Sus scrofa: one gene and its partners. The main gene of each other region encodes a partner of the protein of the gene in region 3 in a complex. Links are inferred from orthologs where the notes say so. Each region holds a gene or a part of one and is shown on either strand. Other genes may lie near its edges.

Evidence for each region.
Region 1: POLR2K (region 3) and ZNRD1 share a complex: the UniProt entries of both Homo sapiens proteins name them as parts of the pol I pre-initiation complex. The link is inferred for Sus scrofa from reciprocal best matches to the Homo sapiens genes POLR2K and POLR1H.
Region 2: POLR2K (region 3) and TAF1C share a complex: the UniProt entries of both Homo sapiens proteins name them as parts of the pol I pre-initiation complex. The link is inferred for Sus scrofa from reciprocal best matches to the Homo sapiens genes POLR2K and TAF1C.

The regions. Positions count from the first base shown.
Region 1 is NC_010449.5:22,625,595-22,629,342, reverse strand, and holds the start of ZNRD1 (DNA-directed RNA polymerase I subunit RPA12), read right to left. Parts: upstream 2,473-3,748; 5' UTR 2,340-2,472; intron 2,227-2,339; 5' UTR 2,207-2,226; coding exon 2,071-2,206; intron 1,847-2,070; coding exon 1,746-1,846; intron 1,409-1,745; coding exon 1,299-1,408; intron 1-1,298. UniProt on the Homo sapiens protein: Core component of RNA polymerase I (Pol I), a DNA-dependent RNA polymerase which synthesizes ribosomal RNA precursors using the four ribonucleoside triphosphates as substrates. Can mediate Pol I proofreading of the nascent RNA transcript.
Region 2 is NC_010448.4:4,454,593-4,457,709, forward strand, and holds the end of TAF1C (TATA box-binding protein-associated factor RNA polymerase I subunit C), read left to right. Parts: coding exon 1-135; intron 136-568; coding exon 569-743; intron 744-824; coding exon 825-962; intron 963-1,039; coding exon 1,040-2,010; 3' UTR 2,011-2,517; downstream 2,518-3,117. UniProt on the Homo sapiens protein: Component of the transcription factor SL1/TIF-IB complex, which is involved in the assembly of the PIC (pre-initiation complex) during RNA polymerase I-dependent transcription.
Region 3 is NC_010446.5:36,850,398-36,854,145, reverse strand, and holds the start of POLR2K (DNA-directed RNA polymerases I, II, and III subunit RPABC4), read left to right. Parts: upstream 1-1,523; 5' UTR 1,524-1,664; intron 1,665-2,865; 5' UTR 2,866-2,873; coding exon 2,874-2,934; intron 2,935-3,244; coding exon 3,245-3,337; intron 3,338-3,748. UniProt on the Homo sapiens protein: DNA-dependent RNA polymerase catalyzes the transcription of DNA into RNA using the four ribonucleoside triphosphates as substrates.

The DNA of each region.
Region 1 (3,748 bases), on a different chromosome or scaffold from region 3:
CAGGGTGAGAGAAATGGAGGATAGAAGATAAGGCCTAATAAAGAGCTAATCAGTTAGAACTCTAAGAATATGAGAACTGAGCATATGAGGGAAATATTCAGTGTGATAACAGCTGATAATTTTCCAAGGTTGATGGGGGAAAAAAGGTCAACCCTCACTGTTGGAAGGCCCAACACATCCCAAACAGGATAAATAAAAGAAAGCCACATCTTGATAGATTGTAGTGAAATTGAAGGACACCAAAGACAAAGAGGAATTCTTAAAACTATGTTTTAAAGAACCCATGTTCTGGGAGTTCTCGTCGTGGTGCAGTGGTTAACGAATCCGACTAGAAACCATGAGGTTGTGGGTTCGATCCCTGGCTGCTCGGTGGGTTAAGGATCTGGCATTGCTGTGAGCTGTGGTGTAGGTTGCAGTCTTGGCTCGGATCCCACATTGCTGTGGCTGTGGCGTCGGCCAGCGGCTGCAGCTCTGATTAGACCCTAGCCTGAGAACCTCCATATGCCTCGGGAAGCGGCCCTAGAAAAGGCAAAAAGACAAAAAAAAATAAAGAAATAAAAATAAAGAACCCATGTTTTTTAAATCATCCATGACTGACTCTCACCAAAGTAAAACTACCTTGAGGGCAGTGGAGGAGTCCAACATAACACACTGATCACAAACCAATACTCATTTCCTTTTAACTATTGTAAAAGGTTTAATTCACTGGGTATAAAAAGATAGGAAAAGAGTAATTATTTAAAATTTAAAAAGACCACAGAACTTCCCATCGTGGCACAGCAGCACAAGCAAATCCGACTAGGAACCATGTGGTTCAATCCCTGGCCTCACTCAGTGGGTTAAGGCTCTGGCATTGTTGTGAGCTGCGGTGTAAGTTGTGGACGCAGCTGGGATCCGGTGTTGCTGTGATCTGGCGTTGCTGTTGCTGTGGTGAGGCCAGAGGCTACAGCTCGGATGTGACCCCTAGCCTGGGAATCTCCATATGCCACGGGGTGCAGCCCTAAGAAGGAAGGAAGGAAGGAAGGAGGGAGGGAAGGAAGGAAGGAAAGAAGGAAGGAAGGAAGAAAGAAAGAAAGAGAGAGAGAGAGAGAAAGAAAGAAAGAAAGGAAGGAAGAAAGAAAGAAAGGATGGAAGGAAGGAAGAAAACGATCACAAACCTATTACTTGAACTGTACAGAAATGAAGGATGCGACCAGTCCAAAAAGTACAAAAATTAAACCACTGGATTTAAATTAAATCACGGGATTTTGGCAGCAAAGAGACCCAGAAGGGGCAGAATGGAGGGAAAGGATACGCACTTGCAGTTGGTACAGGTGTAGAAGACAGTCTGCCCTTCATCGGCTGAGCGCATCTGTCTGGTGTGGTATGCCATTCCCTCATGACCACAACGAGGACAGCGCCTGTCAACCTGGGAAGCAACTGGTAGGTTAATAATTCCCACTACTTCTCACAGACATCAAGCTACCACACTCCTCAGATACTGCTGGTTTTTGTTTTGCTGCACCTGCAGTACGTGTAAGTTTCCAGGCCGAGGATCGAACCCGTGCCACAGAAGCGACCTAAACCGCTGTAGTGACAATGCCGGCCAGATCCTTAACACCCGGCTGCACCACAAGAAAACTCTCCCCAGTCACTACTGTTTTAAAGACTCTTCTTCCCTGTTGTGTACAAAACTCTCCAGATCTGAGCCCTCCGTTTCGTTCCCACCCTCTTTACAGGGCCAGTCCTCGACGTGATTCACTTACCACGGGTCCCTGGAACTCAGGTCCTTCCTCCATCGACATAGGCATGGCTGTCCCCACTTTCTGGAACACAACTGAGGTCTTCACAACCTTCCCCTCAAAGTCTGCGCGGGCAGTAAGAATTGGTTGTGGAGACAGCGGAGGGGGCTGACACCACACTAATCCCTCTCTGTTAGGCCAGGAAGCTATATTCTACCCATCAGGTTTCGTGCCGACCAAAAGTATAAGTGCCTGATCCTGCGCTTTCGGGTCCCCGTCTTTAATCCAATCGATCTTGAGATCCCCATGGGCCCTCCTCCGCCCCAGCCGCGGCGTAGCAGCACCTCACCCCGCACGTTGATGGAGAAGCCACAGCGAGTACAAATGACCGCATCCTGAGTCCCGGGCAGAGGCAGGACCGAGCCGCAATCCGGACAGAAATCCAAGTCCGACTGAAAGCTAGAGGATGTGCGGGCGAGGTCCATGACAGACGGGTGGTCGAGGGCTGGGAAGGGGATGAGGAGTTTATTAAGAGAGTAGCCCCTTCCCCAGAGAGGTCATGCCTATTCTGTCCCTGGACGTAAGCATGCAGAACCCGAGATTTCTTCCTACGCATACCTTGTGCCTCTGTGACTAAGGAGCCCAAACTTCCGGAATCCCTATCCCGCGTCGGGTACAACTACGCTGGGGGTCTTTCCTGGGGCAGGCGAGAGGAGCAAGTCAACTTCACGGGCTAGAGCGCCGGCTCCGCGCGGGCAACCGAGCAGCGAGCGCGTGGCGGGCTAGAGAGTCCACGCGTCCCGGCTCTCGATTGGCTGTGACGTCATAATTAATTGCAACTGTGATCCCGAGAGCCTGGAGAGGGAGAGGAGCGGTTCTGAAGGAAGATTGTGGCGCCCCCTTCAGCCTGGTTCTGTTACGTTGGATACGAAAATAGGTGACGAAGCTGCGCCTGCCTCAGGTTATTTTTTCCCTTCAGGACTCAGTCCTGGGATGTTTATTTTATTGGTCTCGAATTTTACCAGGACCCAGTCGCGGGGAGCGTTTCTCCTGAGAAGTCGGACCAACCTTATAGAGTACTAATTTATTTATTTGGACTGGAGAACTGCAAACTCCAGCGGTTCCTGAATCTGCACTTCACTGTGGCGGTTGGACAGTGGTAGAAAACAAAGCGAAATATTCTGGGAGTAATTCTAGCATTCTTTGGGCCTTGCGACCCAAGCAAGGGCTCTCTGCAGGACCCGGTATGGCTCATGTGCTTTGGTGGCTGTTGCCTTGTCTATAGTGTAGATCACAGTTGCAGCTTTGATTCAGACCCTAGCTTGGGAACTTCCATATACCACAGGTGCAGCCTTAAAAAGAAAAAAGAGAGAGATCATGGTATTTGTAGATTAAAAATCATAGTTCCCACTCTTTATATGTTTAAATTTCAGCATCAAAATGTTTTTTGTATTTTGAGTTCATGTTGTGGCACAGCAGAAACAAATCCGACTAGAAACGATGAGGTTGTGGGTTCGATCTCTGGCCTCGCTCAGTGGGTTAACGATCTGGCTTTGCTGTTGCTTGAGCTATGTTTCGTTTTGTTCTTTTGTTTTTCCTTTTGTTTGTTTGTTTGTTTGTTTGTTTTGTTTTGTTTTTTGTTTTTGCTTTTTTTTGCTTTTTAGGGCTGCACTTACAGGATATGAAGGTTCCCAGGCTAGGGGTTGAATCAGAGCTACAGCTGCCCACCTATGGCACAGCCACAGCAACATAGGATCTGAGCCATGTCTGTGACCTACACCACAGCTCAGGGCAAGGCCAGATCCTTAACCCACTAATCGAGGCCAGGGATCAAACCCGCAACCTCATGGTTCTTAGTTGGATTTGTTTCTGCTGCACCACAACAGGAACTCCCATGACTGATTTTCAAATAAATTGTAGAAGTTATATTTTTTACTTCTATTTTTTACTTTGTATTCATCGGAAGGCAAAAATCACTGATACAGGAGTTCCACTCTATGGCAAAATGGGATGGGCAGCGTCTTGGG
Region 2 (3,117 bases), on a different chromosome or scaffold from region 3:
GGCTGCGGTCTGCTGCTTTTCCGCGGAGGGGCCGAAGCCTCGTGCCAGAAGGGGGAACGTGTGCTGCTCACCCAGTACCTGGGGGGGTGCAGTCCCGAGTCCCTGTTCGCCACACTACACCTCGTCTGCACCCAGGTGAGTGGGGCCTTCTCCTCCGTCCTGCACTGTCTCACGTGTCGCTGGAGACGGTCCAGGACAACTGCAGGGGGTGGGTGGGGGTGGGGGCCAAAGCTGGACGACCCCCCTGCATGTCAGCTAAAGAGGAACAGCGCCCCTGCCAAGCCGCCCGAGGACCCTGGGGTTAGTGGTGTGTCTCAACCATGGGTCCAGGGTGGGTGAGCTCTGGAAAGGTGGGGAAAAGCCTCTCCTGAGACCCTTCTCCCAGCACCGCCTGCTCTGGAAAGGCCTCCCGAGCAGGGCTGGACAGGTGGAGCCAGAGAAGGGGCTGGGCCGGGAGTTCTGTGACCCCTCAGAGCCATGTGGGGTCCTGGGGAGGGCCATGGGGCCACCCGGGGAGACCCCCCCATGCCCCAGTCACCTCCCCCGCGTCTTCTTTCCGGGCCCCCAGTTCTCCCTCTACCTGGTGGATGAGCGCCTCCCCCTGGTGCCCCTGTTCAAGTGGAACCACGGCCTGCCCTCCGCTCCCCTGCTGGCCCGGCTGCTGCCCCCACCCCGCCCCGGCTGCCCGCGGCCGCTGCTCCTGGCGGGCCAGGCCGGGGAGCTGCAGCTGCTGCAGCTGGCAGGTGAGGGGCCAGGCGCCGGTGGGGGCGGGAGCGGGCGGGGCTGGGCCTGGGCAGGACCTCAGCCGTCTGTCTTTCCTCCAGGAGAGGGGGCCTCCACAGCCCGGCTGGCCGGGCCCCCCCAGTCCCTCCCTTCCAGGAGCGACTCCCTCTCTGCCTTCCCCCTGCTGGAGCCCAGGAGGCAGAAGCGGCTGCAGGAGCGTCTGAAGGCGCCCACCATAGGTGCGCTGGGGCGACAGAGTGGGACTGGAGAGCCTCACAGCCGCCAGGCCGTGGGGTCACTGTCATTCTGTCTCCAGGTCTGGCCGCCACCATCCCGCCCTCTGCCTCCCCGTCGACCCTGTCACTCTTCCAACTTTCAGCAGCGGGAGACGTCTTCTACCAGCACCTCCACCTCCAGGCAGACCCCGGGCCCGACTCCACTGCCTCCACAGCCTCCTGGACCCCCCAGGCCACTGCCCGCTGCAGGCGGTGGCTGGAGGCCCTGCTGGAGGTGCCCCCGGCTGCCCCTGTGTGGGCCGCACCCACCTTCTCCCACCGCCGCCTGCTGCGCTGCTTTGAGCGACAGCAGCTTGACAGGAAGCTGCCCGAGGGCCTGCGTGCGGCCATGGCCCAGGGGCGGCTCCTGCGGCGGAGGGACCTGGGCCTGCCCCCCACTGAGGAGCGGCCCCCCGCCCCTGAGCCCGGCCCCGGGGATGAGCTCAGCGAGCGTCTGGAGGCAGCCTGGGAAGGCCGGGTGGCAGCCTGGTGGCAGAGACGGCAGGGCCCCAGCTCGGGGCCCGGGAAACAGCCCAAGCGGCCCAAGCGCCGGACTCAGCTGTCCAGCACCTTCTCCTCACTCAGCGGCCGCCTGGATCTCTCGGATGCCCCCAGTCCCCCTCCCAGCCCAGACTGGACACCTGCTGAGGCCCGGCCTCAGCCCCCAGTGACCCCGCCCTCCCAGGACTTGACCCAGGAGCCATGGGCCCACGGTGTCCCCTCGGAGCGGCAGCAGACCCTTCGCGACTACATGGCTGAGCTGCCGCTCCGAGGGGACACCCCAGGGGGGGCCTCTGTCCCCTCCTCCCAGACCTCCAGCATCCGGGCCACCCCCTCCAGGAAGCAGGCCCTCCGGGACTGCTCAGTCAGGCTGCCGCTCCGAGGGGACACTCCCAGGGGTGCCACCGTGTCCTCATCCCAGGCCTCCAGCATCCGGGCCACTCCCCGACAGCCGGCAGCTGTCCCCTCCGGCTCTCAGCCACAGCGGAAGAAGCCCCGCATGGGTTTCTGAGGCCGGACACGCCGCCCACCTGAGACGCCCACCTGAGAGCCCCTCGCCCCAACCCGCTGTGCCTTTGGTGGTTGAAACGGGAAATGGAGAGCAGTCTCCAGGGTGCAGCGCCTCCTGCTTCCTGAAGGCCTTTGAGACCATAGGCGGCAGAAGCGAGGAGGAGCCACGTGGAAGGAAGGACGACAACCGGTCATTTCCCCTGTAGCTCCCGCTCCAGGCCGGCCTGAAGGTCAGCAGCGCCGGGACCCCCTCCCACCACAGTGTTGGGCTGGAGAGCAGGGCCTCCGGCAGCCGAGGGCTCCGCTGCACGCGGCCGCTGTGCCATTGGGGTGCCCGTGCAGGCTCCTGCGTGGTGGGTGATGGTGAAAGGAGCTGCCACGGAGCTGCTGGTGCTCCTGCGTGTGTGTGAGGAAGTTTCTGTCACAATCCGATGTTTTGTAGGGGAGGCACTTTGGACCCCGTTTAGGGGTTGAATAAACTTGTCGGCTGAGCCGTTTTGCACGGTCATGTTTCTCGGGCTGCATCTCACGTGGTTTTAGGGTCCGATGCCTCAGCCCTGGAAGTGACACAGGACTCGGGGCGCGACCTGGGTTTCCGATCACTCGTGAAGAGGGATGTAGCTGCCGAAATGAGTCTAGCGTGACTCGCAGGTGTATTCAGTAACCCAGTAAAACAGGGACTCACGTGGATGCCAGAATGTTTATGATGCTCAAGGGAGACACTAGAGTTACACAGTTTAAGCCGCAAACAACCGGGTTTGGTAGGCTTTGGGGCAGGGAGCGTGACGCTGTCCACACCCGCGGAGGCCGCGCCCACGGGTGGAGTGAGCCAAGGCCTCAGCGCACTCGAGACCAGCAGCTCCCTGGCGGAGGGGAGCCCAGCCGGGGAGACCCGTGTCTGCCGGGGCCGCCGTGGGCTCAGTCCAGGCCAAATTCAAGGTCCTCCCGGTCCTCTCCCACGTCGGGCTCCAGGCGCGCCTCGGGCTCCGTCTCAGCCGGGGCTGTGTCCCTCTCCAGGCCAATCCCTGAGGGTTAGGAAGGGGGAACCCGTGTTCTTGGGCAGTGTGGCCCCCCATCTTCACCCGTGTGCCAGCCTGGAGGCGGCCAC
Region 3 (3,748 bases):
CACTCAAGAAATGTTAGTTGTCATCACTGATAATAGCTTCCACTGACCATGCTCCACATGATGCTAAAATTACTGTTCCTACTCATAGGAACAAGAGTGTTGGATTGGGATCTAGCCCCAACATGAACTCTTGTTGAAATTCTGGATCTCCTTGCTACAACTTGTCTTTACTCTACCCCTCTGTAGGGTCCCAGGAGCCGTTTGTATTCTGCATGTGTTAATTCCTCCTGATCTCCATAGACTGCATTAAGTGCCAGCATCTTCTTGAAATCTCAAGCTTGAGAGTTGGAATCCAGGTCAGCTTGCAATGATTAAAGTTATACTTTTTGGATCACTCCATAATCTTTCTCTTATGATAACAATGGTTTTATCTAATACTTCTTGGAGCAAAGCTTATTTTGATTCTTCTTTTGGGTTACCTCTTCCCTTTGGCTGACAGGAGAGATATTTTTTAAGATGGTCAAAATACTTGTATGTTCTGTCTTAGCCTGTCTGTGGAGGAAGAAGCAGGACACTCCACTGTGTTTCCTGAAATTTTTACAACAGGGAGCTAAGAAGACTGGGAAGATTGAGTTAAATCTCTCAAGTTGGTCTGTGGAGGTGCCGGCAGTTGGAACTCCTCCTGGAAGTGTAATGCGAAGCTCAAAGTTCCCAAGTTTCCGTATGGAAGACCAGAGAGCAGTATTGCCTGCTTAATAAGAAACCAAAATAATGCATGTTGGGAAGAAAGAAACCTGCTTCTCCAATTAACTGTAATAGATAACGAATATGTATTTTCTAAATTGTAACAACTTCATTTTCTTCCTCTCATTCTGATATTAGTAAAATGCCTGCTATGAAAGAAGCAAACGAATGTAAATGTGTACATCCAACGATAATGTCTCACTAATAGTTTGATCTTTGAAAGGATTCCACTGAGCAGGTCGTTTTGTTCTTCTAGAGAATACATGGGACCAAAGGAGGGTCGGTAAACAGCCACCACTACCTAAATCCCTCAGCTTTAAGTGGCAGTAGTTGGATGTAGCTGCCTGCAAGTCCGCCTGTGCTTTAAAACGAGTAAAAGGAGAGGCTGAGAAGGATGACAGGTACCTAAGTGAGAAAGGGTCGAAAAGCAAACATTATGCAAAGGGCAGGAGGCGGCTGTTCCACTGCCGGCGGCACAGGTATTAAAACGATCTGAAATCCATAATCTGAAAACTGCTCTTCTACGTGGAAATCAGCGGTGAAACCGATACTTCCACGTTCTTTGGAGTAACGGTCAGCCCAGGGATTCCATGAGCACTTCACTTGGGTATCTAACGCTCTGACCTCTTGGAAAACTGTTACTTTCTGCGGCCTTCATTTGTCATAGAAACAAACCTCCTTCGACCTGAGAAACTGCTAAAATTCTTTGCCTCCCCGAAAAATGAAAATAGTTGGGAGCCAAATAAGAACCTCTACAGAGCGAATCAAACATACATAATTCCAATTTAACTGCCCGCGCTCAATCCGGGTTCTTCGGCCACTCCTTGGGCGGAAGGGGCGGAGACTACATCCTGCGTCATCTGCCAGTGCCGGAAGTGGGCTGACACACAGCGGCCTCAGGAATCTGTTAGGGAGCCTCGGGAAGTTTCTCCGTGTTCCGTGGGTAGGGGTTTGGCGGATTGGCGGTTTGGGATTGGAAGGTGAGTGTTTGGGCCAAAACTGGAAAGATACTAGGGGTTACAGGAGGTCCGGTGTGGGATTAGAGTCGAGAGAGGCTGGGGATGGAGTCGATGCTGTTAGCCCTTTGGCTTGTTTAGCTGTTGGGTTGTCTGCCTTTTCAGCTGTTAGGAGTTATTTCATTATTTTTCCCTTTTCTTCGGTTCGCATGTTTTCCTGTTGAGGGGTATAGTTTTTTGGCAATTTCTTGCTAAATTTTGGGAAAATTTCACTTGTGGGAGTTCCCCTTGTGGCGCAGCGGAACTGAATCAGATGAGTATCCTTGAGGATGCGGATTCCATCCCTGGCCTCGCTCTGTGGGTTAACGACCCAGCGTTGCCTTGAGCTGTGGTATAGATAGCAGACGGGGCTCGGATCCCGCGTTGCTGTGGCTGTCAGGCCTATTGGACCCCCTAGCCTGGAACTTCCACATGCCGCGGGTGGAAAAAAAAAAAAGAGAGAGAGAGAAAGAAAAAGAAAAATTGGAGTTCCCGTCGTGGCGCAGTGGTTAACGAATCCGACTAGGAACCATGAGGTTGCGGGTTCGGTCCCTGCCCTTGGCTCAGGGCAGGGTTAATGATCCGGCGTTGCCGTGAGCTGTGGTGTAGGCTGCAGACGCGGCTCGGATCCCACGTTGCTGTGGTTCTGGCGTAGGCCAGTGGCAACAGCTCCTATTCGACCCCTAGCCTGGGAACCTCCATATGCCGTGGGAGCGGCCCAAAGAAATAGCAAAAAGACAAAAAAAAAGAAAAAGAAAGAAAAAGAAAAATAGTACTTGTACTCGTGTTAAATGAAAACCAGAGCTTCGCAGTCAGATCTAAATTCCTCTGCCTTTTAACTACTGAATAATCCTGACCAAATTAACCTTCCCTAAATCTTAGTTTCTTGATCTGTTCATTAAGAGTAATTATTTAACCGCCTAGAATTGTTGTAGAGATTATAATGAAATAGCATGTGTAAATATGAAATCTGTAAAGTGTTTATGGAGTCCAGTTTGGGGGTAAATGCAAAATGCTTATTTGTGGGTTTGATTCATTCTTTAGAACCAGCGGTAGGATTTTTAAAAAGTACGGATTAGGAATTGGGAACTTTTTAGCTTTTTAGCTTTCCCTGAGAAAAATAAGGCATGATTGGATTTGTGAGGGGCCCCTTTAAGATGTTCAGTATTTGAATCTGTGATTTCAGGGATAACGATGGACACACAGAAGGACGTTCAACCCCCAAAACAGCAGCCAATGATATATATCTGTGGAGGTAAGAGTGGCACTTACATAAAATAAAAGTATTTTACCTCAGTTTTTTAAAAAGATAGTGCATTTATCTTTATTTTACTTGAGTCCTTCCTCTTTGAAGTTAGCGCTTTAGCAACTATTTTAAGATTTCATTTTCTCTCCTAGAAAAAGTGCGTTGCCCACCACTCTTTTCTTTCTTTTCCCTTAATATGTTGATAATGTTGAGATTTAGTATACATATTTTAGTGCTTTGGGGGAAAAGTATAATTAAGATAATTTGCTTGCCTCTTATTTCTCTTTTAGGCATTGAATAAATATGTTTTCTCTTTTAGAATGTCACACAGAAAATGAAATAAAATCAAGGGATCCCATCCGATGCAGAGAATGTGGGTACAGAATAATGTACAAGAAAAGAACTAAAAGATGTATCCTTTTAACTGTGTTTTCTAAATATGAGGTAGGAGGAAGTGGAGAATAATGCTTGGGTTGATAGTCAAAGACTAGCTGTTAAAAAATGGTAAAACTTGGATTACTTAGTGAAAAAATAAGCATGGAGTTGCCATCGTGGCTCAGCGGACACGAATCTGACTGGCATCCATAGGGACGCAGGTTTGATCCTTGGCCCTGCTCAGTGTGTTAAGGATCTGGCATTGCCATGAGCTATGGTGTAGGTCGAAGATGCTACTGGGATCCTGAGTTGCTGAGGCTGGTATGTATGTAGGCCGGCAGCTACAGCCCCCATTCGACTCCTAGCCTGGGACTTTCCATATGCTGCATGTGCGGCCCTAAAAAGGCAGGGGAAAAAAAAGCTTGATTAGCATTGTTATGGACCAATA